Lonchura striata: one gene and its partner. The protein of the gene in region 2 purifies or fractionates together with the protein of the main gene of each other region. This does not show direct contact. Links are inferred from orthologs where the notes say so. Each region holds a gene or a part of one and is shown on either strand. Other genes may lie near its edges.

Region 1 (11,017 bases), about 10 Mb from region 2:
TCAAGAAAGTGTCCTTATCCAGATGTTGCTACTTAAAGCTCTGCCATTGCTTACAAAGTGCTCTGCAGGAACTCAGCACTAAGGTGGAAAAAGGAGATTCTGATTTCAGTCACCTGCTTTAGCCCACCTAGGGTACAGCAAGCAGGGCCTCAAAGAAAGGGTCTGAGTCACCTTCCAGGAGCTTTATTAGCTAATGAAGTGATGCAATGCATTTCAAGAGATTTCTGCCATTAAGAAACACTTCAAGTTTTATCAGCCTTCTCCCTTAGCCACGGTGTGTATGAAGTGACAACACATGAGATTTATGGCCTACCTGAGTGGTTCAAAAGGCATTAAAACAGCAGTGGAGCTCTTTAAAGCAGTATTTTTCTGCCCATTTCTGCCACCACTTCTTTGGTGCAGCTTCTTCGAGCCAAAATTACTTCTAACAGTCATGAGAACAGAAGGAAGTTGCAGCTCCCAGCTGGCCAAACGAATCTTTCGTTGATAGGCACTTCAGGAATTGCCTCTCTCTAGAAACCAGTCTCATTCCAAAATTAAAAATCCAACCACACTAATTCAGGCTCTGACACAAATCCTGAAAAAGGACCTTATTTACCCTGTCACCACAAACAGGTTGTGTTTAGCTCTTCAACCTGATAAGTGCATCAGGAAAGTCCAACTTCTTCCCACTCCTCCAGATCTCTGCTCGCTGACTATCAGCTCAATGAGCTTCAGTGTTCCAGTGCCAAACACCTGGATCAAGGATCAACCTTCCAGGCATCAGGCAGAACTTCCACAGAACCCCCAGGCCAGGCACTCTTCCATGCACTGTGTGGAGCTGCAGGAGCACCCTGGGGGCAGGCTCAGCTTACCTGAGCCGTGTTTCAGCAGCCTCCCAGGGCCAGCAGCCCCTCGTGCTCCCCACAGCAGCACAGCCACGGCTCCCAGCTCCAGCTGCCGGGCTCAGGGAACGCCAGGAGCTGCAAACAACACCAGATCCTGCAGAGGCTGTAAATAATGGGCACTTCCAGGGCTCGGCTCGGGAGCCGACAATTCCAGATGCGATCCTGGGATGACATGCAGTTTCTCTGAATAAGAACCACAGGCCATCCACATTAGGGAAATTAGGACCAGGAAGAAATGATATCCTCCCTTGTGAGCAAGTTTACTCATGCACATGGAAAACTTATGCTTAATATCTAATTAGAGACAGTGACTAATGCAGAGCCTTAGAAAAGCAGAAGCTGCATTAGCTGAATCCAGCTCTAATGAGATTTCACTGCTAACGTTGGGTTTTAAACGTTCTAATCAAACTGAACACAGGAGGGTTTGGGTTGGAAGGGACGTTCAAGACAATCCAGTGCCACCCCCTATCATGGGCAGGGACACCTTCCACTATCCCAGAGTGCTCCAAGCCCTATCCAGGGACACTTCCAGGGACCCAGGGGCAGCTACAGGTGCTCTGGGAACCTGTGCCAGGGCCTGCCCACTCCTATGGGGAAGGATTTATCCCTAATATCTAATCTGACCTCTCCATCTCTCAGTTCAAATCCATTCCCTCTTGTCCTCTCTCCAGGCCCTTGTTTAGTCTGATTACAAATCAAGTGTTTGTTTACACTGGAGGAAAAAACGTGATCAAAACCCGCCACCAATCTAGAAAAGGATTATTCTAGAACTGGACTGCTTGCCTCTCGTGGCCTGTCCACTTCAGCAGCAGTCAGGCCTCATACCAAGCTTCCCTGTGGAACTGGTTGAGTTTTCCCTCTAGTTCCACATGCCTGATTTGATGGGAAGAGATTACATTAGACATTTATGTTGGATTAAACTCACTGCTGTGGAGACTGGCAACATCTCTTGCTTAGGCAGCACACAACCTTCTAGGCCACACCAAGTTCCTGGTGTGCACTCCAGCCTTTAGAGCTGTCCTACGGGACATCTTGCTGTGTCATTCCTTTCATTTCAGTTTGAGGAATCCCAACAGCCTCATCCACCCAAACCACTAAGTGGCCTGCAGAGAGCAGTTGTTCTTTTCCTGCACTCATTCCCAAATGCAGACTCTGAACCAAAGTCAGTCAAGGAAGCAAATAAGAAGACAGCTGTGCATGCCTTGGACTGCACTGCTCTAAAAAGTGATTTTGCACTGGCAACTGAAGCTTATGCCATTATTTTGTTTAAACCAATAATACAGACCTAGCCAAACCCCCTCCCTCTGGTTTTTCGTGTAAAGACTCACCGGATTTCCTAATTAAAAGCTTCAGAAATGTGACCTGATGCTTCCAAACTAAACCAGCTAAGGAGGCTGTGTCAGCATGCTCAACAGCTTCCTCCTTCCCCAGGGTTTTGCAAGGCTCCCTGAATGGCACTCACTCAGATAAATGCCTGGGTGTGATCCTAACATGTGGCTGAAACCTTGCAAGATTCAACCCCCGCAGAGGAGGTTGGAAACAGACTCCAGCTTTACTTAGGGAAACTTTTCCCACTGGAGACAACTTAGATGGACTCGACTGATGTGCAGCCACCGCAGCTCTGACTGCTGCACATACCCACAGTGAGCTTCACAGGTAACTCCCCAAACTCCTGCTGCTGCTACTATACAGAAGCAAAGTGGTTTTTTCCATCCCAAGGAGGACTCCAGAGCATGAAAAGCCTGCAGAGAGCCCCCAGCTGCAGAAACACTCCAAGCAGTACCAGCTCAGCAGCCATAGATCAAGGCTGAACAACAATTTCAGAGCTCCATTTCTACAAATCCAAGCCAAGATGTATTGGCAAAGTGTGAAAGAAAAGGCTTTGGGCTTTCCTGGGTTACTCCAGCAACTTTTAGCTGACAACTAGTCAGAGAAGTTGCCTTTAATGAAGTAACCCATTTTCCATGATTATCAGGAAGCCCACTGAGTGTTCACACCTGAGCTACTCAAGGGCTTGGGTATGGTTTGCCAAGGTGTTTGTCAATGTGCAAGGATGATGCGTAACTGCAAGAGAATGAAAATCCTTTTCCCAGACACTAACCCATTCAACTGGCACTTAAATATATACATTCTTTACAAGTATTCCATGGTGCTAAGGAGACAGCATCAAGAACCAAAAGAGGAGGCGATGGTGTGCTCAGTCTAAAGCTGGAGACATCAGCTTTCTCATTCGAGGTGCACTGCACCCAGGTCACTCACATTGCCTGAGAAACCCAAAGATACCCTGGCTGCCCATTTCAGGAGCTGCCAAAGTCCAGCTTGTCTCCTGCAATGTTTTCCATCACATACATCAGCACAGCAGGACACTGATGAAGCTGAACACGCCATTTAGGCAAAGCCACTCTTTATCTCGTTCAACAATGGAAAAGCTTCGTGTAGGAGTATTCCCACACCCTTCCTTTACCTGCTCCAGGCACATCACCAGATCAGCAGGCCCCAGCGCAGCACCTTGCTGCTGATGGGCTCGTGCTTGTGAGCTGTACTCCTTAGCTAAGTTGTACCTTAAGAGAAAGGACATTATTTGACACGGTTTTCAGCAATCGATAAGCAAATACTTGAGAGGAGAACCGTGAGTGGGTGCTGACACCTAAATGATTTAGAACTACCGAAAAGCAGTCAAAGGCAGGCGGCAGCTGAAGACACACAATGTTATCTCCACATCTGCTAACAGAGCCCCGCCACACCGAACACCCTGACTCAAAGGCGCCTTCAGAGCCCGCTGTGGGGCCGAGCGGGTCCCATTCCACACGAAGCTTCACAAAACCCGGGCAGCCCCCCGGAGAGAGCTCACAGATGCTCCCCGCGGCCCGGCCCCGCTCCATCCCCGCTCCATCCCCGCGGCCCGGCCCCGTTCCATCCCCCCGGCCCCGCTCCATCCCCGCTTTATCCCCGCGGCCCGGCCCGGCTCCATCCCCGCTCCATCCCCGCGGCCCGGCGCGGCCCGGCTCCATCCCCGCTCCGTCCACCCAGCCCCTGCCCGGCCCGGCCCGGCCCGGCCCCGCTCACCGCGATGACGTTGACGAAGGTGGTCTTGCCCGAGTACTGCAGCCCCACCAGGGTCAGCTCCATCTCCTCCTTCCAGAAGAGCGAGCGGAACCAGTCGAGCAGCCGGGACAGCAGCGCCAACATCGTGGCGGCGGGCGGGCGGGCCGGGCCGGGGGCAGTGCGGGGTGGGCCGGGCGATGGCTCCGGCGGGCCGGGACGCTGCGGGCCGGGCTGTGCCGAGCCGGGCTGTGCCGAGCCGGGCGCTGCTCTCGGCCGCTCCGGGACAGCCGCGCTCGTCCGGGCCCGGCTCCCCCCGCCGCCCGCACGTGACGCCGCGCTCACCGGCCCCGCCGGCCCCGCCCCGCGCCGCAGCGGCCCCTGGCGGCGGGAGGACCGGGCCGGGCCGGGCCGGGCCGGGCGGGCCGGGCCGCCATGCTGGGTGTGGTGAGGGGGTGACCCCAATCCCACCATGCTGGGTGCTGTGAGGGGGTGACCCCAATCCCGCCATGCTGGGTGTGGTGAGGGGTGACCCCAATCCCACCATGCTGGGTGTGGTGAGGGGTGACCCCAATCCCGCCATGCTGGGTGCTGTGAGGGGGTGACCCCAATCCCGCCATGCTGGGTGCTGTGAGGGGGTGACCCCAATCCCGCCATGCTGGGTGTGGTGAGGAAGGGTCTGACCCCCCAATCCCGCCATGCTGGGTGCTGTGAGGGGGTGACCCCAATCCCGCCATGCTGGCTGTGGTGAGGGGGGTGACCCCAATCCCGCCATGCTGGGTGTGGTGAGGGGTGACCCCAATCCCGCCATGCTGGGTGTGGTGAGGAAGGGTCTGACCCCCCAATCCCGCCATGCTGGGTGTGGTGAGGGGTGTCCCCCAATCCCGCCATGCTGGGTGCGGTGAGGGGTGACCCCAATCCCGCCATGCTGGGTGCGGTGAGGGTGTCCCCCCAATCCCACCATACTGGGTGTGGTGAGGGGTGTCCCCCCAATCCCGCCATACTGGGTGTGGTGAGGGGGGTCCCCAATCCCTCCATGCTGGGTGTGGTGAGGGTGACACCCCCAATCCCACCATGCTGGGTGCGATGAGGGGGTGTGAACCCAATCCTGCCATGCTGGGTGTGGTGAGGGGGGTAACCCCAATCCCACCATGCTGGGTGAGGTGTGTCCCCCCAGTCCCACCATTTTGGGTATGGTGAGGAGGGGTCTGTCACCCCCAGTCCCACCATGCTGTGTGTGGTGACAATGAATGAAGAGTTCTAAATCAAGTTCTAAATCACACAGAAAAATTACATTTCCGAGCCAGAAAAAATGGGTGTCACAAATCTACTCTTCAGAACAGAGTAAAAGAGGTGTAAACCAACAGTTGGAATGGGATTGTGGAAGGGGGCATGACGGTCTGGGGGACGTGGATCTCATCGGGAGGATGCCCACACCCAGAGCAGCCCTTGCTCTGCCGGCCTGAGATCTGCACTAATTGCTCTCTGCCCACAGAGCTTGCACAGGAGGAGCACGGAGTGCTGCACGCACGGAATAAATCCCATTTCACCCCTGCTCAGGCTCACGGGGCTGGGGAAGGCGCTGCCCTCAAACGCCACGGCTCTGCCACACCAAAATCAGCGATTCCCAGCGCCCGGCGGCAGGGAAGGCGCTTGTGCTTTTCCACCCCAAAACACGGCTTTCCTTTGTAGCCATTCAAAAAAGCCAACTAATCTACCCCTTCCAATTAAGCTGAGATACGAACTGCACTTTGAAAGTTCTTAATCCATCCTCTGCCTCATTAACTCAGAAAATTTCACCCCCATGGTTGGCCCTATCAGAGAGGACGGAACACCTGGCACCAGTTAGTTCTAATAACGAGCTGAGCTGTGCAGATTTCGGAGCCTGTCGTTATATGAGAAAATAAGACGGCTCCTCTCAGAACAGAATATTTTACTGGACATTCCTTTAATTTGTCTCTGGCTGACAACTCCTCCCACAGCCGAAGGAGCTAATTGATTTGATGAGTTCCAGGCGCCCGCTGTGTGTGTGGCACCTGCCCTGCTGCCCAGCCAAAATCGACAATATCGCTCTGGGATTCGCCTTTCCTCCTCTGAGGAGGCAAACACACGTGCCCTGTTAGTGCCCTCAGCTCGTCTGGGTGCTGGTTTTCTCCCAGGGGTTCAGCTGGGTTATAAAATGTTATCATATAAAATTATGCACATTTTAATCTGATTATATATATATTTGTGTGGTGTATATTTTATATTGATGATACTTATTATGTTATTTATAAATATATAATATTTATTAAATAGATTATGTTTTGATTTAATTTAATTTAACTATATTTAATTTAATAATATACATGATGTAAAATGTAATAATAAAATAATAAAATAATATTAAATAAGAAATAAAAATAATAAAAATTAAAAATAAATAAAACACTAAATATAAAATAAAAATAATGAAGGTATTATTTAACATATAAAACATACAATTATGTAAATTTAAATTTATAATATATTTATATTGTATATATTTAATATATATTATATTTATTATATTAATTATAAATATATATTTATAAATATATATTTTTAATTAAATTATATAAATTATGTTAAATGCAATAGTAAAAATATAAAATGTTATAATATAAAATAATGTAAATTTTTATTTTATCATGTAGGTAATATATTTCTATATTGTGTTTATATAATGTATAATATTGATGCTATTATTTATAATATATCATATTTATAAAATAAATAATATTTTCATTTAATAATGTAAAATGTAATAATGAAAAATATTATAAAATGAGGCTGTGGGTGCCTCCCAGGTCAGGATCCTCCTTGTGGAGGGAGGGAGAAGCTCTTGGCTCTGGGGAATCTGAGCCTGTGAGGACAAACGGGAGCCTCACTCCGCAGTGCCAGCAGGCAGCTGGGGGCTCTTTCCAGCCCTGCTCTTTCAAGGCTCACTTAAAATAATATCGAAAGAAAGAGGCAGATGATAGCAGGTACAAGTATGTGTCTTCTTGTGTTACAGACTCTTAAAGGAAAGGGTAAGATTAGTGCTCACCTCTACAGAGGTGCACATGAAATAACTGGTTCCTGAACCTGCCACAGCCTGTAACAGTCCTCCTGTCACTTTACACAGCATTTTTGGTACTGCCACAGTAGAAACAGTCATTAAAAAACCGAGGAGCAAAGGAAGGATTTCTCTGTGTCTTCCTCACTTCTTTCCTGAAAAAAGAAACGTGTCAGTTGTGCTGTTACTGCTCGAGCTGAACCAGAAGTATTCCTTTGCCATGAAGAGGGAGCCACCCCATGAAAATGAAACCATAACTTATTTCCCCAGAGCTGTTTGCACGCTGCCAGCATGCCATAAAATCCTGCCTCTTTCTGCAGCCCAGGAAAGCACCACAGTGGGGAGGAGAAGGGGAGAAGGGGAGCGAGGAGGCAGCCAGGGCAGGCTGATGCTGTTGAGGCAGGATGGGAACAAAAAGACTCTGACTCCAAAGGTTGCTGAGAGTAAAACTCCGATTTTATTCAAAATCCACCACTCTTTATACAGAGTTTCATTCAGACCAACTCCATTGATCCTGAAGTGAAAACAACCTACACCGTTGGTGCAGAGTGCTTGACGCACAGTGATAAAATTTAACTATAAACAATGCGAACAACAAGAGAAATAAAGAATTATTTACATTCTTTTCCAACAGGTTTCTGCCTGGTTAGAAACTCTCTGTTTCTCTCTGACAGTCTGAGAGCCACAGCAGGCAGCAGCGTGGCTCCTGGGTGAAAGCTGACGTGAGCAGCGGGATCTCATTTCCAGAGGCACGGGATCGCAGTGCGCCGGGATGGTCTGAATGCAGCTCAGAGGTTTCTCTAGGAGCACTGCCCGCAGCTGAGCCCAGGTGAGAATCCTCATCTCAAGGTGACCCGGTATCAGGTTCATCAGCAGGCACCACTTTTCACACACCTCCTTCACCCTGGAGTAGTCCCCAAGCCTGGAAACGTGGCAGCTTGGCGGCTGGCAAGCTGTGCGACTGTCTGTCGCTGCCAGGGAAAATATAAATGATGGCAGTTGCTTTAGCATTTCGATTTCGTAGGTGCTGGCAAACACTCCCCAGCATGAGCTGCTGCATGCAAGTGATGACCTTTAGGAATGCTGGCATCTCCCAGTGCTTAAGAAGCAGGAGCATGAATCAGCAGAAGGGAGCAAGGGGAAAAAAAATAAAAGATAGTTAAAAAGGAGCCTGCTGTTAGCAGTAAGTTAAATAAAATTCTCCTGGTCCTCCAGTCAGATTTATTAACAGTGACCTTGGCACTTGCAGAGCCCCCTGCACAAAAGCCAGGCCCACGCTTGCAGATTTAGTGCACAGTCAGGGCCTTGGCCAGCCCAGTCACCGCATTTCACCCTTTCTGTAATTTAGATTTTAAATCTACGAGGAAACAAACCCATTCTTCCAGCCTAAGCACAAACAGCCTCCAAGTGAGGCTCGGAAAGGCGGGCACAGAGCCCTGGGCTCCAGCTCTGCCCAGACACCTCTGTGACCAGACTCAAAGGAGCAGCACCTTGGGAAAGCCACAGCTGGAGGTCCGTGGTCAGACGGAGCCATGAGCTGCCCACCCAGGGACCATGCACATGGTGCCAGGCCAGGGGAGGCATTTTCTGCAGCCTCTGCTTTGAGGCAGAGCTCCCTCCCAGCTGCCAGGCAATATCCAAACAGTGCTGCAGCCCCTTTCCTGACAAACCCAGTGCCCACAGTCCAGGCTGCCATGTGTGTTTCAGTCCCACCAAGTGTTTTGCAGCTCATGCCCATCAGCCGTGGTCCCTGGACACCACCTGGGCTGCAGAGGAGCTCTGAACCCAGCAGTACAGCGCTGAGCCTGTCTGTGCAATTCTGTTCAGCTCCAGCCAGGATGCTCTGCCTGCTGTGAGTCTCTGCCACATCACCAGGACCAGCCTGAGCCACGGCTCCGGGTGCTGCCCCTGCCTCACTCCTTCCCATACTGGGAAGAGGGACTGTGCCCAGCACAAATGAGACGTGTCCCAGTTTCTGCAGAGGATGTCCCCAGCAGGAGCTCTGTCATTGTGACAGGCATGGGATGAACCCCAGCAGAGCCCAGACTGGATGCTGCGATGCCCCAGGGAACCCGGGCCTCACTGGTGTTCTTTGCACTTTAATTTCCCCTTTTCCTCTCAAGTTTTCTCCTTGGCCAGGGGCTCTGCTGCCTTTGCTGCGATTTTCCAGCAGAGGGGGATGCAGCCTCACCAAAGCCGTCCTCCTTTCCTGAAGCATTTGTGTCCTCACCTCCATCCTCACCCTCACCCTGCCCTGGCAGGGCTCCCTGCACAGCGCAGCCCCCTGTGCCATCGCCCACACCCAGCCCTCCCCTGGCACATGGGCACCGCAGGGTCCTGCAAATCTTCCTCTCTATTTTTGGGAATAAATCCAAAGCGAGGGATGTTATCAGCAATGAGCTGCTCCCAAGAGATGGAGAGCAAGAGAGGAACAGCAAACCCAAGCCCCAGCCTGCCCGAAGGGAACATCTCTGGGCAGTTGTCCCCAGAGGTGTCACAGCTGTCACCACACTCTCACCTTGTACCAAAGGAGCATCCAATTTGCCCCAGCTGTGAGGGGCAAATCCCAGGTGGTGCCTTTGCCTTTAGTGGGGAAGAAGGAGCACAGCTACAGGTACAAAGAGGCTCCCGTGAGCCCAGCCAGCTGAGCTGCACTCATTGACACCAGCCAAACTCACAATCTGTCAGCTGCACTCATTGACACCAGCCAAACTCACAACCTGTTGCCTCAGCACCTGGTGAGAGTCCTGAACTGAGCAGGGGGACCTCCGTGTACATCAGTGCTGAAATCAGGAGCACAGGGAGCACCCAGCCCACTCTGCAGTCTCCCTTGCACTGGATTTTGGGTGCTCTGCTTGTCTGCATTGTCCTTTGTCATCTCCTCTGGAAGTCACCTTCCCTGCTGGCATTTCACGGAGCGGGGCTGGACACCTCACACCATCATGTCAGAGCTGTGCTTCAAGGTTATTTCCTATCAAACGCTCCTCTTCCAGCCATCCAGCTATTTTCTCCTTGGCTAAATCATCTGAAAATAGACTGCAGCCATCCTAGTTCTTCCTGCTTTGTATGCATGAGCAGGAAGGGGAATTTAGGATTTTGCTGTAATGCCATACACAAAAGCCTGCTGGAGAGCATCACTTTGATTAGCTTTTATTATTATACCCAAGAAAACAGAAAAGAATAAGAATAAGGGAGAGCCCAGCATGTGTCTGCTGTGCCTTGCTGCTTCAAGGCTGCTCAGAAAATCTGCCTGGTTGCTCGGGGCCTTCATCAGGAGCATATTTGTGAATATCCAAAAAATGGCTTGGGTTTTATCCTCTTAGTAATAAGGGAGAGAAGGGCAAGAGCACTGTAATGATTTGCTCTCTAGACCATCCCAAAATCTGGGCTCTGGCAATAAAGCAGCCTGACCCCGAGGCCCCCCCTTTCACTTGGTCACCTGCAGGCAGGTGAACCTTTCCAATCCCCCACCACACCACACAGGACACAGCAAAGCTTCCCAACTGCAAGCAAAGGCATCCCAGCTCCTGGAAGTCTGAGACGGAAAACTTGATTTAGATCTGGGAATTAAATTAGCAAAAGGGATAAAAAAGAGGAAAAATATCTTGCATCTAAGCACGCATCTTTGGCAGAATTTATGACTGGAAAAACGTATTGGGATGTGAATTTTGCAGGCAGCTTTGATGAGTGATGGAATGGACCAAAGTCCTTGCTCTAAACTGCCTGAACTTTGAGGATTTGATGCAGATCCAGAGTCTAAATTTCCATTGGGGACTTTCTCATTAAAACCAGAAGCAGAAAGATCTTGTTTGCTTACAGAGGCTGTACCAGATACTAACTTGCCCCTTCTCCCCCTGTGTCCTGGCCACCCCTCTTTATCCTTTCTCAGTTCAGGTGAGTCTTTGTCACAAGGCACTGACAAAACAAGCAGTGCTGGTTCCCCCAGGACATGGGGCACTGCAGTTCTGGAAAACAGAATTTAGTGCAAGCATCTGCATATGGATTTTTTAAA
Region 2 (10,628 bases):
CATGGTGAGGTTAAGAGAACTCTGCGGGCAAATGGCATCTTGTTAGGCAGGGGAAAAGGTTCAGGCCCAGGCATGTCTCAACTAAAACCCTCTCACTGCTCATGCTCGAGACAATGCCACCACTGTGCCAGTTTGGACTCCAGATATCATTATCCATGTCTGGGAGCCGAGTGACTCAGCCCACTCGAGGGAGACAAGCACCAGACAGGTTACTTTGAAGAGGATTCTGCTTCCAGCTGGAAAGAGTTCAAGGGCTCAGCACAGACTTGTTAGATAAACTGGTAGCCCAGTAACCAAGGTCCAGGTACTCCAGGCAGGTTGGCTCTGAAGGCAGCTCCAGTTACTGGTCTCCACTTTTGTCTACCGCTTCACTAGTCCACCTTGTCTCTCAAACAACCAAAGTTACAGTATATAGGACAGACTCAAGAAAAATATTAGGTTTTTAAATTGACATTAAGAGGATCTACTAAATTTCATTTAACAATTTCTGCTTGAAACTCATGCAAGTTAGACACAATTAGTCACCTTAAATTGTCATTTTAAGTGGTTATGCAGAAGAAAGAGCAAATCAGTCACTGTATCAAGTATCTTTAAATCATACAGATAGAAATCTGTGCCACAGGTTTACACTTCAATCCCATCTCAAAGGCAGTGCACCCCATCCTGAAGCTTCACTGCCCTATGTAGACAGCTATGGCCTCAATAACAGGTTTCCTGGCAGAGAAGTCAAGGCGACTGGAGATAAGCTGCAAATCAACACACTTCAATGGCCTTGATGAGCCTGCCTCCCCTCCCAGGGTCACTGACCATGAGGTAGCAGCAGCCGTGTTCCAAAGCTTCTCCCACAGCCAGAGCGCTGGAGGAGGAGCAGCCTCCAGGAGCAGCGCTCGCAGCAGCGATGACATCACCAGGGCACATCTCTCCAACACAAAATGCAGCAGCACGCTGGGCTCCAGAGCTGCATCCTACCAACAGACAGCAACAAGCACACCAGGAGCCAGAGGGGAACCGAGTGACACAGGGATATCCCTTCAGCACCTGCTATTTCTGAGCAGCACGTGTGCAGCTCCTGACCTTGGACGCTCATTTGCGAGCTTTATTCAAGGTACATTTAAAGAGAAATGGGACCTTCAATCGAGCCCCTCACTGCACAAATAAGCATGGTGTACCAACTATTGTCATTCAAGTAATTATCTATATCTAATTCAGTTTTGAGATGCACAGCTCGTGTTTGGATTGATGCTGCAGAGAATGACACTTTTATCCTCACAATCTCCGGTCACAGCTATATCTGAAGGCAGACTGTTACACAGCAACTACAAAATATCATTTTAGGAAGCTGCAAAGGGAAGCCAACTCAACACTAACTCATCAGGCAATTAAAATTGCAATTAGCAAGACAATGCTGTGCAAGGCACAAGAATGAAGTACTTCAGCATCTGAAAGATGCAAGATTGCTGTCAGACAAGCAGCACATGTGTCCAACCAAGTTCATCATTTAGGTAAGGTCTTAGCTGGACTCCCTTCTGTGGAGGCACCAATCTTTAAATTACTTTACAACTCTGTGAGGGAATGTTAGGTACATCTGGGCCCAGTAACAGGGACTTCAGAGCAGGTCAGGTCACAGCCAAGGAGAAGCCCAGAAGACACAAGGAAACATGGACACGTGCAAGGTGAGAGTCCTGTGTTTGTTTCACAAAGGGTCAGTTTACTTCAGTCACTAACGAAATCGCTGCATTCTGAAGGCAAGGACATGCAACAATAAGTACTTGTGAGCCCACATCATCCAACAGTTTCAGAGAATACATCTAAGTGCCCTATTGCATAGCCCTTATTTTCAAGCCAGGTACCTGCAAACCTTCTCTCACAATGCAGCATTAAAAAACACACCCTAACCAAGCATAGCCAATGTTGTTTACAGCCAAATGTTAAGTTCTGCATAAAACAGTCTCATTTTCACACAGAAGTCAGACCAAAATCCCATATATGTTAGAGACAGAACTATTTATAGTTTTGCACAGATGGTTTGATGGCAATTGTTATGTTTCCTCAAGGACAAGCTTTGCCAGAGATTTGCTCCAACAGGTACTTCTCACAACCATCCAACACAAGTATCCTAAAACATGAGCTTTAAGAAAGTGCTGCAGAAAATAAATCTGGTAACCCTCCTGCTCACAAGCCTTCATTTTGGTTAGCAAACTAAGCAAAGTCATATCTCTCCCAGGTCACTTCAGAGCAGAGCTTGTATATTTTACACTTTCAGTTGAGGATCTATCAATCTTCTAACATGTCTGTGCTGCTCAGAAAGTTGGATTCCCTGGCTTTGACAGGAGGGCCAGGATGCCTGTAGTGAAAACTCTGCCACACAGTTATTTAAATTCTTAACTTGTCACCCTGAAGGTACAACTCGGGGTGTCCTGTTTCCCACCTCTTCACTCTGGTGACCAGTGACAGGATTAAGAAAAGAACATGAAGCTTTGTCAAAGCAGGTTTAGGCTGGCTGTAGGGAAAAAGTTCTTCACCGAAAGGGTGGCTGGGCACTGGAACAGGCTCCCCAGGGAAATGGCCATGGCCCCAAGCCTGCCAGAGCTCAAGAGCACTTGAACACTCTTAGGCACATGTGGGGGTGTCCTGTACAGGGCCAGGAATTGAACTTCTATGATCCCTATGTGTCCCTTCCAACTTGGAATAGTCTGTGATTCTGTGCTGAGCTATTATGAGGGTATTTGAGTTTGAGGACAGGGACCACTGCATGACACCACAGGAAAGAAGAACATTTAACACAGCTACTCCCATCTTATACTTCACACTACATGCTGGGAGAGCAAGAAACTGCTATGAGATTTCAGAAGTCTTCATTATTGAGGGGTCAGATTAGCCCCATAACAGCTTTTCTACACCAGACGTAGGGTAGTAACATAACAGCACAAAGAATAAAGAAAAAAATCCAAAACACACAAACATACACCCCAAATAAACAAATAAGGCAATGCTGTAAAGTTAACAGTACTAGAGCTGCTTTAATTCTGAGGACTCAGGCCAGGCAGGCATGGTGGGTCCACTCATTAGTGCATGGAGGGCAAGTCATGTGTTCAGTCAGCTGTTGGGAGTCACAAGGGAGAGGGGGAAAGAAAAGTATACTTGTTCTTCCCGAGTAAGTACAGCAACGAAGCCTTGATTATTTAACAAGGAATATTCAAATTACTCCACCCACTTTAACCTCAAATTCAGCTCCTGAGAGAGCAGGGTACACTGACTCCAGCAGCCTGGTTCTACTGGAACCAGAGCCAGGCTGCAGCTGCTATTCACACGCCATTGGTACCACCACAGCCTTCAAGTCACAGCCAGCCAAAACACTGTGGCACAGCTACTTATGTACCATTCCCCTAAAAAGAGAATCTTCCACTTCCCCAAACCCAATACCCACATGGATACAGACTGTTCGGCATAGGCCAACGCTGGCCAGCCAGTGACAAGTACTGAAAGCTTTAAGGTTCCATGCTGGCAAGTGTCAGACAAAGAACAGCTTGCTTACAGCTGTGGGGGGGGGACTTCATTCTGTCATGTGTTCTCAGTTTACATATAAAAATCTCATACACACAGACCACAACAGCTCTGCTTATCAGCAAACATTTGTAGCTTTCCAGGAGATAATGCTGAAATTTCCAGCTTTGAGAACAAAAGGCGGAGAGTACTAGGTGAGACACACATTTTGATGCTGAGGTTACCTATCCTACTTCAGATTAAGACAGCCGTTTTTACAACTAAAATAAGCCCTCTATTTACAGGGAGTGCAACTGTCTTAAGTACAACCACCAGGCATTTCCATGTTTATTAGTCTCTCTCTATATATAGGGAAACTAATAATGTATCTATCACTTAATTTACCTTATTACACACTTACAGACAAAAGCACTTCTAACGTCCACTCTAATAGTTCTTAGAACTGACTCAGGCTTTACACACACCGACAGCTACTTTCGCAATAACTGCCAGTGTCCTCGGCCACCTCTTTGGCCAGTTTAATTGCTCCCGGGGTGCCGGGTCATGCTAAAAGCGCTCCCCGCCGACCCCCCGAGCAGCGTTTCACCGTCCCCCCGCGGCCCCGGCCCTCCTTCGGCCGCCGGCCGCCCCGAACCCTCCCGAGGAGCCGGAGCGGCTCCGCACGCCGCAGACAAAGCGCTCCCTCCCCGGGAGGCACCGCTCGGGCCTCCCCAAGCCTCCCGGCACAGCGGGCTCCACAAAGGCCGGGCGGAACGCGCGTCCTGGGAGCGGCCCTCGGGGAGGAGCCCCGTCCCGGGGAGAGCCCCCCGTATCGTCCCGGGGCAGCGCCGGGCCCGGCTCCAGGCGGCGCGGCCGCCTGAGCCCGCCTCGGGGCGGGCAAACCAGCCGGGCCCCGGTGCAAAGCCGGCCGGGAGCACCGAGACAGCGCCGCCTCCGCCGCGGCCCCCCGGTGCCGGGGAGGGGCCGCCAGCGGCTGCCCCGGCCCGGGGCGAGGCCGCCCCCGCAGCCCCGCGGGCAGCGCGCGCGGCCGCCGGGCTCACCTGGTGCTGCCGCCGCGGCCCGACCCCGATCGCTGCGCCCCCCGCCCGCCTCGTCGGCTTTAATGGGCCCCGCCGCCTCCCGCGCTCGCTTCCGCCTCCCCGACGAGTTCCGCTCACGGGGCCGCGGCGTCACCGCGCCGCCCCCACGTCACCGGGCCCGCCCGCATGGCCGGCGCCGGGCCGGCTCTGGGCGGGGGGAGTGCGGCGGTACCGCCGGGCCGGCTCTGGGCGGGGGGAGTGCGGCGGTACCGCCGGGCCGGCTCTGGGCGGGGGGAGTGCGGCGGTACCGCCGGGCCGGTCCGTGCAGGGGGAATGTGCTGGTGCCGCCGGGCCGGTCCGTGCAGGGTGAATGTGCTGGTACCGCCGGGCCGGGTCCGTGCAGGGTGAATGCGGCGGTACCGGCGGTCCGGTCCGTGCAGGGTGAATGTGCTGGTACCGCCGGTCCGGTCCGTGCAGGCGGAATGTGCTGGTACCGCCGGGCCGGTCCGTGCAGGGGGAATGCGGCGGTACCGCCGGTCCGGTCCGTGCAGGGGGAATGCGGCGGTACCGCCGGTCCGGTCCGTGCAGGCGGAATGTGCTGGTACCGCCGGGCCGCACGCACGGCAGCGCTGCGCTGGGACCTGCCTGCCCCGCCGGCTGCCAGCGCAGCAGGGCAGCGAACACCGCACCCTGCGCTGAGGGGAGGCGGGAGGGCCAAAGAAGCCTTTGTGCTTTCGGAAATAAACGATGGGGACACACAGGCACAAATCTGTTCTTCGCTGTCTTCTAAATAGCATTGAAGAGCTAGCGCGGAGTTCTCTGCAGTTGCATTCCTATGTGATAAAAACCCTCAGCTATTACTTAGACTACATTTTAGATTATATATGTTTAATATTTGTAATTTTTTACTCGCAGCTGTAATCTAAAGTGGGGTAGTAGCAACAGTGCTTGTCAGGAAAGAAGATAAAAGATGCCAGTTGAATATACATTTAGATTGATTAACCAGGCAATTGTCAGCACCAAGATCAATAGGCAGGCAAGTAAAATGGGGCCTTCTGAAGTCTCTGGACTTAAATCCATGGGATAATAACTATCCTGGTTGTATAAGTGAAATCCATATTTCTACTCTGTGTTGGCAGCAAGTTCATTTTGTTACTCAGCAATTACTTGAATATTATTATTCATCAAAGTCATGTGACTGCTGTGGGTTTAGTTAGCTTATGAACTCAGGAAAGACACCAAGGGGAAAAAAGTATTTTTAAATCTAGTGAAAGATAATAAAGGACCGAGGCAATATTCTAGCAATATTAAAAAGAAAATCACACAATGACAGACTTGTTGGGGTTGGAAGACACCTCTGGAGATCATCCCGCCCAGCCCCCTGCCAAGGCAGGGTCACCCAGAGCAGGTGACACAGGAACACGTCCAGGTGAGATCTGAATGTCTCCCGAGACTCCATGCCCTCCCTGAGCAGCTGTTCCATGGCTCTGCCACCCTCAGCCTAAAGAAATTCTTCCTCATGTTGAGGTGGAACTTCTTGTGTTTTGGTTTATGGCCTTTGCTCCTCGTCCTGTCACTGGGCACCACCAAAAAGAGTCTGGCACCATCCTTTTGGCACCTGCCTTTGAGATATTTGTATGGATTACAGACACCCTCTCAATCTTCAGACTACACAGGCCCAGCTGCCACAGTGTCTTCTCATAAGAGAGATGCTCCAGACTCCAGAGAAAGAAAAGTTTAGCAACAGTTTATTAGTGCTTTTAGGGTGCCCCATTAGATGCAAAGAGCTGCAGAAAAACGTGGTATTAGTTAAAATGCAGATTGGACAAAAGAGGAAAAGCCTTCAGCACATCAGCAGCTGGTGGAGCAGAGCACTGGCTTATCCCAGTCCATTGCCTTTAACAGGAGACCCATGTGCTGGGCTGTCATGGGCAGACTTTATTTGGCAAATTAGTGGATGTTCCTCAGCTCTCTTTTCCTAAAAGCTTCCTTTTAATTTTTTTTTTACACAATATGTAAAGCAAACAAGAACTGTGAGTGACATTTCCTCTTGTACTGCGGAGCAATCCTGGCACCACCTGTTACAGGCCTTTGTTATGCAGAATTTCACAAAAAAGTTCCCTGGGCCACTTGCTGTTGACAAGATGCTTTCCAGTCCTCGGTGGGAACACAGCATTTTCTTAAGCTGATGAGGCAAGATCCTGCTTGCTTCCAAGAACATACAGAGCACCAGTGGCAGGAGACAGGTCCCTGCTATCCAGGATGGGAGCTACATTCATAGTGGCAGAGTGGAAGTAGGAGGATGGTAGTAGCAAATGGAAGTATTGAGCTATGGCTCTTGATATATCCCCCTGTCCTCTCCCCATCAAAATAACCACGTGCCCTGGGAACACTGGAGTGTGCTGCAGCAAGCAGCCCAGCACACTGAGCTTTAGCAGCTTGTGAAGGAAACTAAAATGTCAAACTCCAATGAAAACCCATAAAAATGGATCAGTTTGAAAATCAGATGCCTATCATTCCCAATCACTAACACTGCTCTGAAGAAATCCATTCTCTATCCTTGAGGGGCATTCACATAGCTGACTGGATCTCTGAGGTTACAGTAACAGGTCTTTAGACATTTGCTGATGCAGAAACCTCAACCTATTTCATGCACTCGTTCCTCTAAACCAGGAAGTGAGAATGTCTCCTGCTTTGATTTTCTTCCTTTTGTGTCACCTAATCTCTATTTACTAATCTTCCTGATCCAATTAGAGACAATCAAACATTATGTGTCTTACACCACCTCTTTGCTTTTGTCCTTAGACCAAAAGAGCCCCTCCTTTTCCCTTCTAATTTCTCAGTGAGCACCGGTACAAAAACACCTGCAGAGAGGCCCAGGGAGGACATCACCTCAGCTGTGGCACCTATAGATCCCTGAGATGAGCTGAGAGCATCTGGGATTCCCCACAGTGCTTAATGTGTTCACCTCTTCTGTGGACACACAGCTACCCCACCCCTGGCCATCTGTGACATTAAAAGCTTGTGGAGAGTTCCCTTATTCCCCTGATACTTGTTCAGCTTATTTCAGCTCTTCAGAGTCCTGCAGCCTCTCCTCATTGCTGGGAACAACCTTTCTTTGCCTCTGTGCCCAGAAAGATGTAGCACAAGCCTAGAGTGGCTGTGCCTCAGTGAAAACTGACTGTCCAGAGCCTCCTGTGTGTGGCTGTCCTCTCTCAGCTGGCTGTGCAATGCTTTCCTTTGTCACTTTTGGCCTCCCAGAGCAGCTTTCTCAAATTATAATTATAATGATCTAACATACAAAAAGGGAACTAAAATGCAGTAAATACACAAAATTTTGCTTTGATGCTCCAAGTTTTGTCATGCTTTGATTTATCTTGTCTAAAGCAGATTCCCCCTGCTTCTGCTGGCATTTTGTTCATTAGAAATCTGCTAGTGCATGACCACCTATGCATTTCCACTGGCAAGAGCACAGACCCAGTCTTTTGCCTGTCCTGTCCCTAATCCCTGCCTGCAGTACAAACACTGTTCTGGTAATCTATTAATGCTTTCACCTTTGCAATCCTCTGATAGTTTCTATGGCATAGAGCAGCATCACATGAAAACAAAAAGGTAGCTCTGGACAAGACTTGATCACCAGATACCAACTATAGGAAGCAACTGCAGTCACTTTATCTCATGGCAGATCTCCAATCTGTGGTGCAGAGGACATTGCACTCAGTGCAGGGATTATGTCTGTGCTCACTGAGAAAATGCTGGAGGATGAACATCTTAAAGCCCTGATACAAGGTCTAAATGCAGCCATTGCAACCTGAGTCCCACAGGGAGGACAGGGCTGACCTGCAGGGATGCAAAGTGGGATTGTGCCAAGTCCCCTCACACCAGACAAAAGAGACACATAAAAAAATGGCTTTGGACTCTTTTGACAGCTTCCCCCTGTTCAATAGTGACAGCCACAAGACTGCTGCAGAGTTGTCATCTCTTTGATACTGGGAGGTGGCAATGCTGGCACCTTCCCTTAGATGCAAGCTCACTCCCTGAGATGAGAAGGTCCAAACACCTGCTCTGCCTTTAAGTCAGCCCCCTGCAGAGGCTGTGGGCAACATACAGATCACAGGGGATATCCTTAGACAAGTATTTGTGTTGGCCCTGGCAAGACAGGCAGGGAGAAAAAAGCCCGTGCTGCTGGTCATGATGTAAGGTGGGCACCACATGGCTTTGTGCTTACTGTAGTTATCTGGGCCTAGACTAGTGGAAACCAAAGCCCATGGAAATGTCTAGTGTCACATGGGAAGAGATGCTTCCATGGCCCAGACTTTGTGCTTGTGGCTAGAGAGGCACCCACTGTTTATAACCATAAACTCATGAGGCTGTCACACAAATGGTGACAATCACCTGAGCCTCTTGCAGGTCTCCCAGCTGCCCTGACTCCCCATCTACAGAGGTTCTCCAACACCACCATCACCTTTCCACTTTTACAGCCAGTCCTAAATACCAGATAATTATTTTTTTATAGCTGCATTGGGAGGTATGCCAGATAATTTCATATTATTGTTCTCATACTCAATTGGAGAAGATGATCCAGAGAGTGAAGTAACTTCCCTGAGGCCAGAGTGAGTCAGCTACTTTGTCAGATCCGTGTCCCTCTAAACACAGACATTTCTGAAAGGCATTTCAAACCATAGGAATGGTATAAAAATAGCTACAGAGAGAGGTGAACAGCCAGCACAGAACTGCACAGGCTTTTGCAGAACCGACCTTCCTTCAGGGATCAAGGTTTTTTATAAGGAGTGTGTTACCAAAGCAGCAGGTTCTATGAACTTTTACTTGCCAAGCACTGAAGCCTTCGCACTGAAGATCTGGTCAGCCTGAGAGCTCTTAGCTCATGCCATGAGTGGTTTTTAAGCCATGAGGGCAGGCAGGACAGGCCAATGGCTGGCAGGGCCTGGAATACTTTGCAAGTGCCACTGCTCTGCATGGGGCATTGTGCGATGGGGTGGACCAGGCACGTGAGCTCTGCATGCAGGTGTTTTCTGACAAAGGTGGCCATGTCATGCTGTTGTTGCACCCAGAATGAGTCATGGGACAGGAGTCTGGAGCCACATGACCTCTGTGAGTGGGACACTTTGTGGGACAGGTGACTTGCATGTTGCTTCTTCCTTAACAGTGAGTCAGTGCCAAAAGATGCCCCAAAGACAGCTCTCTGTGGGTAGGAACCAAACTGGCTGCAATGCAGCACACTCTGTGGAGTCTGCAGGTCCATCCTGGATCCCAAGAGACAGGGGTTGTCTGCAGAGACCTAGGAAGTTCCTCTGGGACCCTCCAGGGGAAGGACAGACATGTCCCACAGCAGGATTCCCACCTCAAACACCAGGCAAGGCACAGGGTGCTGCACATTAGCTTCAGATCTATCTGCTTCAGCTCTTTTCAAGTGACGGGTTTTCGCAATGCCCGCTTGTCTGCTCTAAAAGGAGAAGCAAATCCTGTATCAATGGTAACCACAAGAATCTGGAATAATTTTGAGTACATGTTTTCAAAGGCTGTGACAAAGATACTTAGCCTTGAAGGATAAGGGTGTGTGGGCAGTGAGGTTTACTTTGCTTTTATCTTGGACAACACTTTTCAATGCCTGGTATATCAGCAGCTGCATTTCTGACCCCAGGGAGTTATGACTCACTGTTTGCAAATCTCTGAGCCACCAAATTGAAGGTATGCCTCGCAAAGCGTGATCCTAAACTGAAATGCTTATAAGTGGGTGTTACAGCTCCAGTTATTCTGTTCCAGCACTCAGGGCTTGCTCCATATCACTGCCTAAATTTCTGGCAAATAGAAATCAACACCTCTTGCTTTGTTTAGGTAAACAGGATCTCTCTGGGTTTGTCTTCTTCAGTGAAGTTCTCAACCAACCTGTGAGCAATGAGGCTACAGAAGATGCATTATCCCACCTATCCCAGCACAATGCCAGCCTGAGGAACATCTGCCCAGCTGCTTCAGACACCAACATCAGAGCTGAGGCTGGCCTTCTGGGGACTAAGGCTGTCTTTTAGCTGCTTTCTGGGTGACCTGTGTGGGGTTAAGTGAGCCACTGGCTGCCATCCTTTCTGC

What was found.
Region 1: the proteins of RAB7A (region 2) and ARL8B purify together in Homo sapiens (affinity purification with mass spectrometry; 4 studies listed by BioGRID and IntAct, with this or other methods). This does not show direct contact. The link is inferred for Lonchura striata from reciprocal best matches to the Homo sapiens genes RAB7A and ARL8B.

What each region holds. Positions count from the first base shown.
Region 1 is NC_134614.1:23,100,400-23,111,416, reverse strand, and holds the start of ARL8B (ADP-ribosylation factor-like protein 8B), read right to left. Parts: upstream 4,241-11,017; 5' UTR 4,077-4,240; coding exon 3,954-4,076; intron 1-3,953. UniProt on the Homo sapiens protein: Small GTPase which cycles between active GTP-bound and inactive GDP-bound states.
Region 2 is NC_134614.1:12,811,654-12,822,281, forward strand, and holds the start of RAB7A (ras-related protein Rab-7a), read right to left. Parts: upstream 4,658-10,628; 5' UTR 4,545-4,657; intron 1-4,544.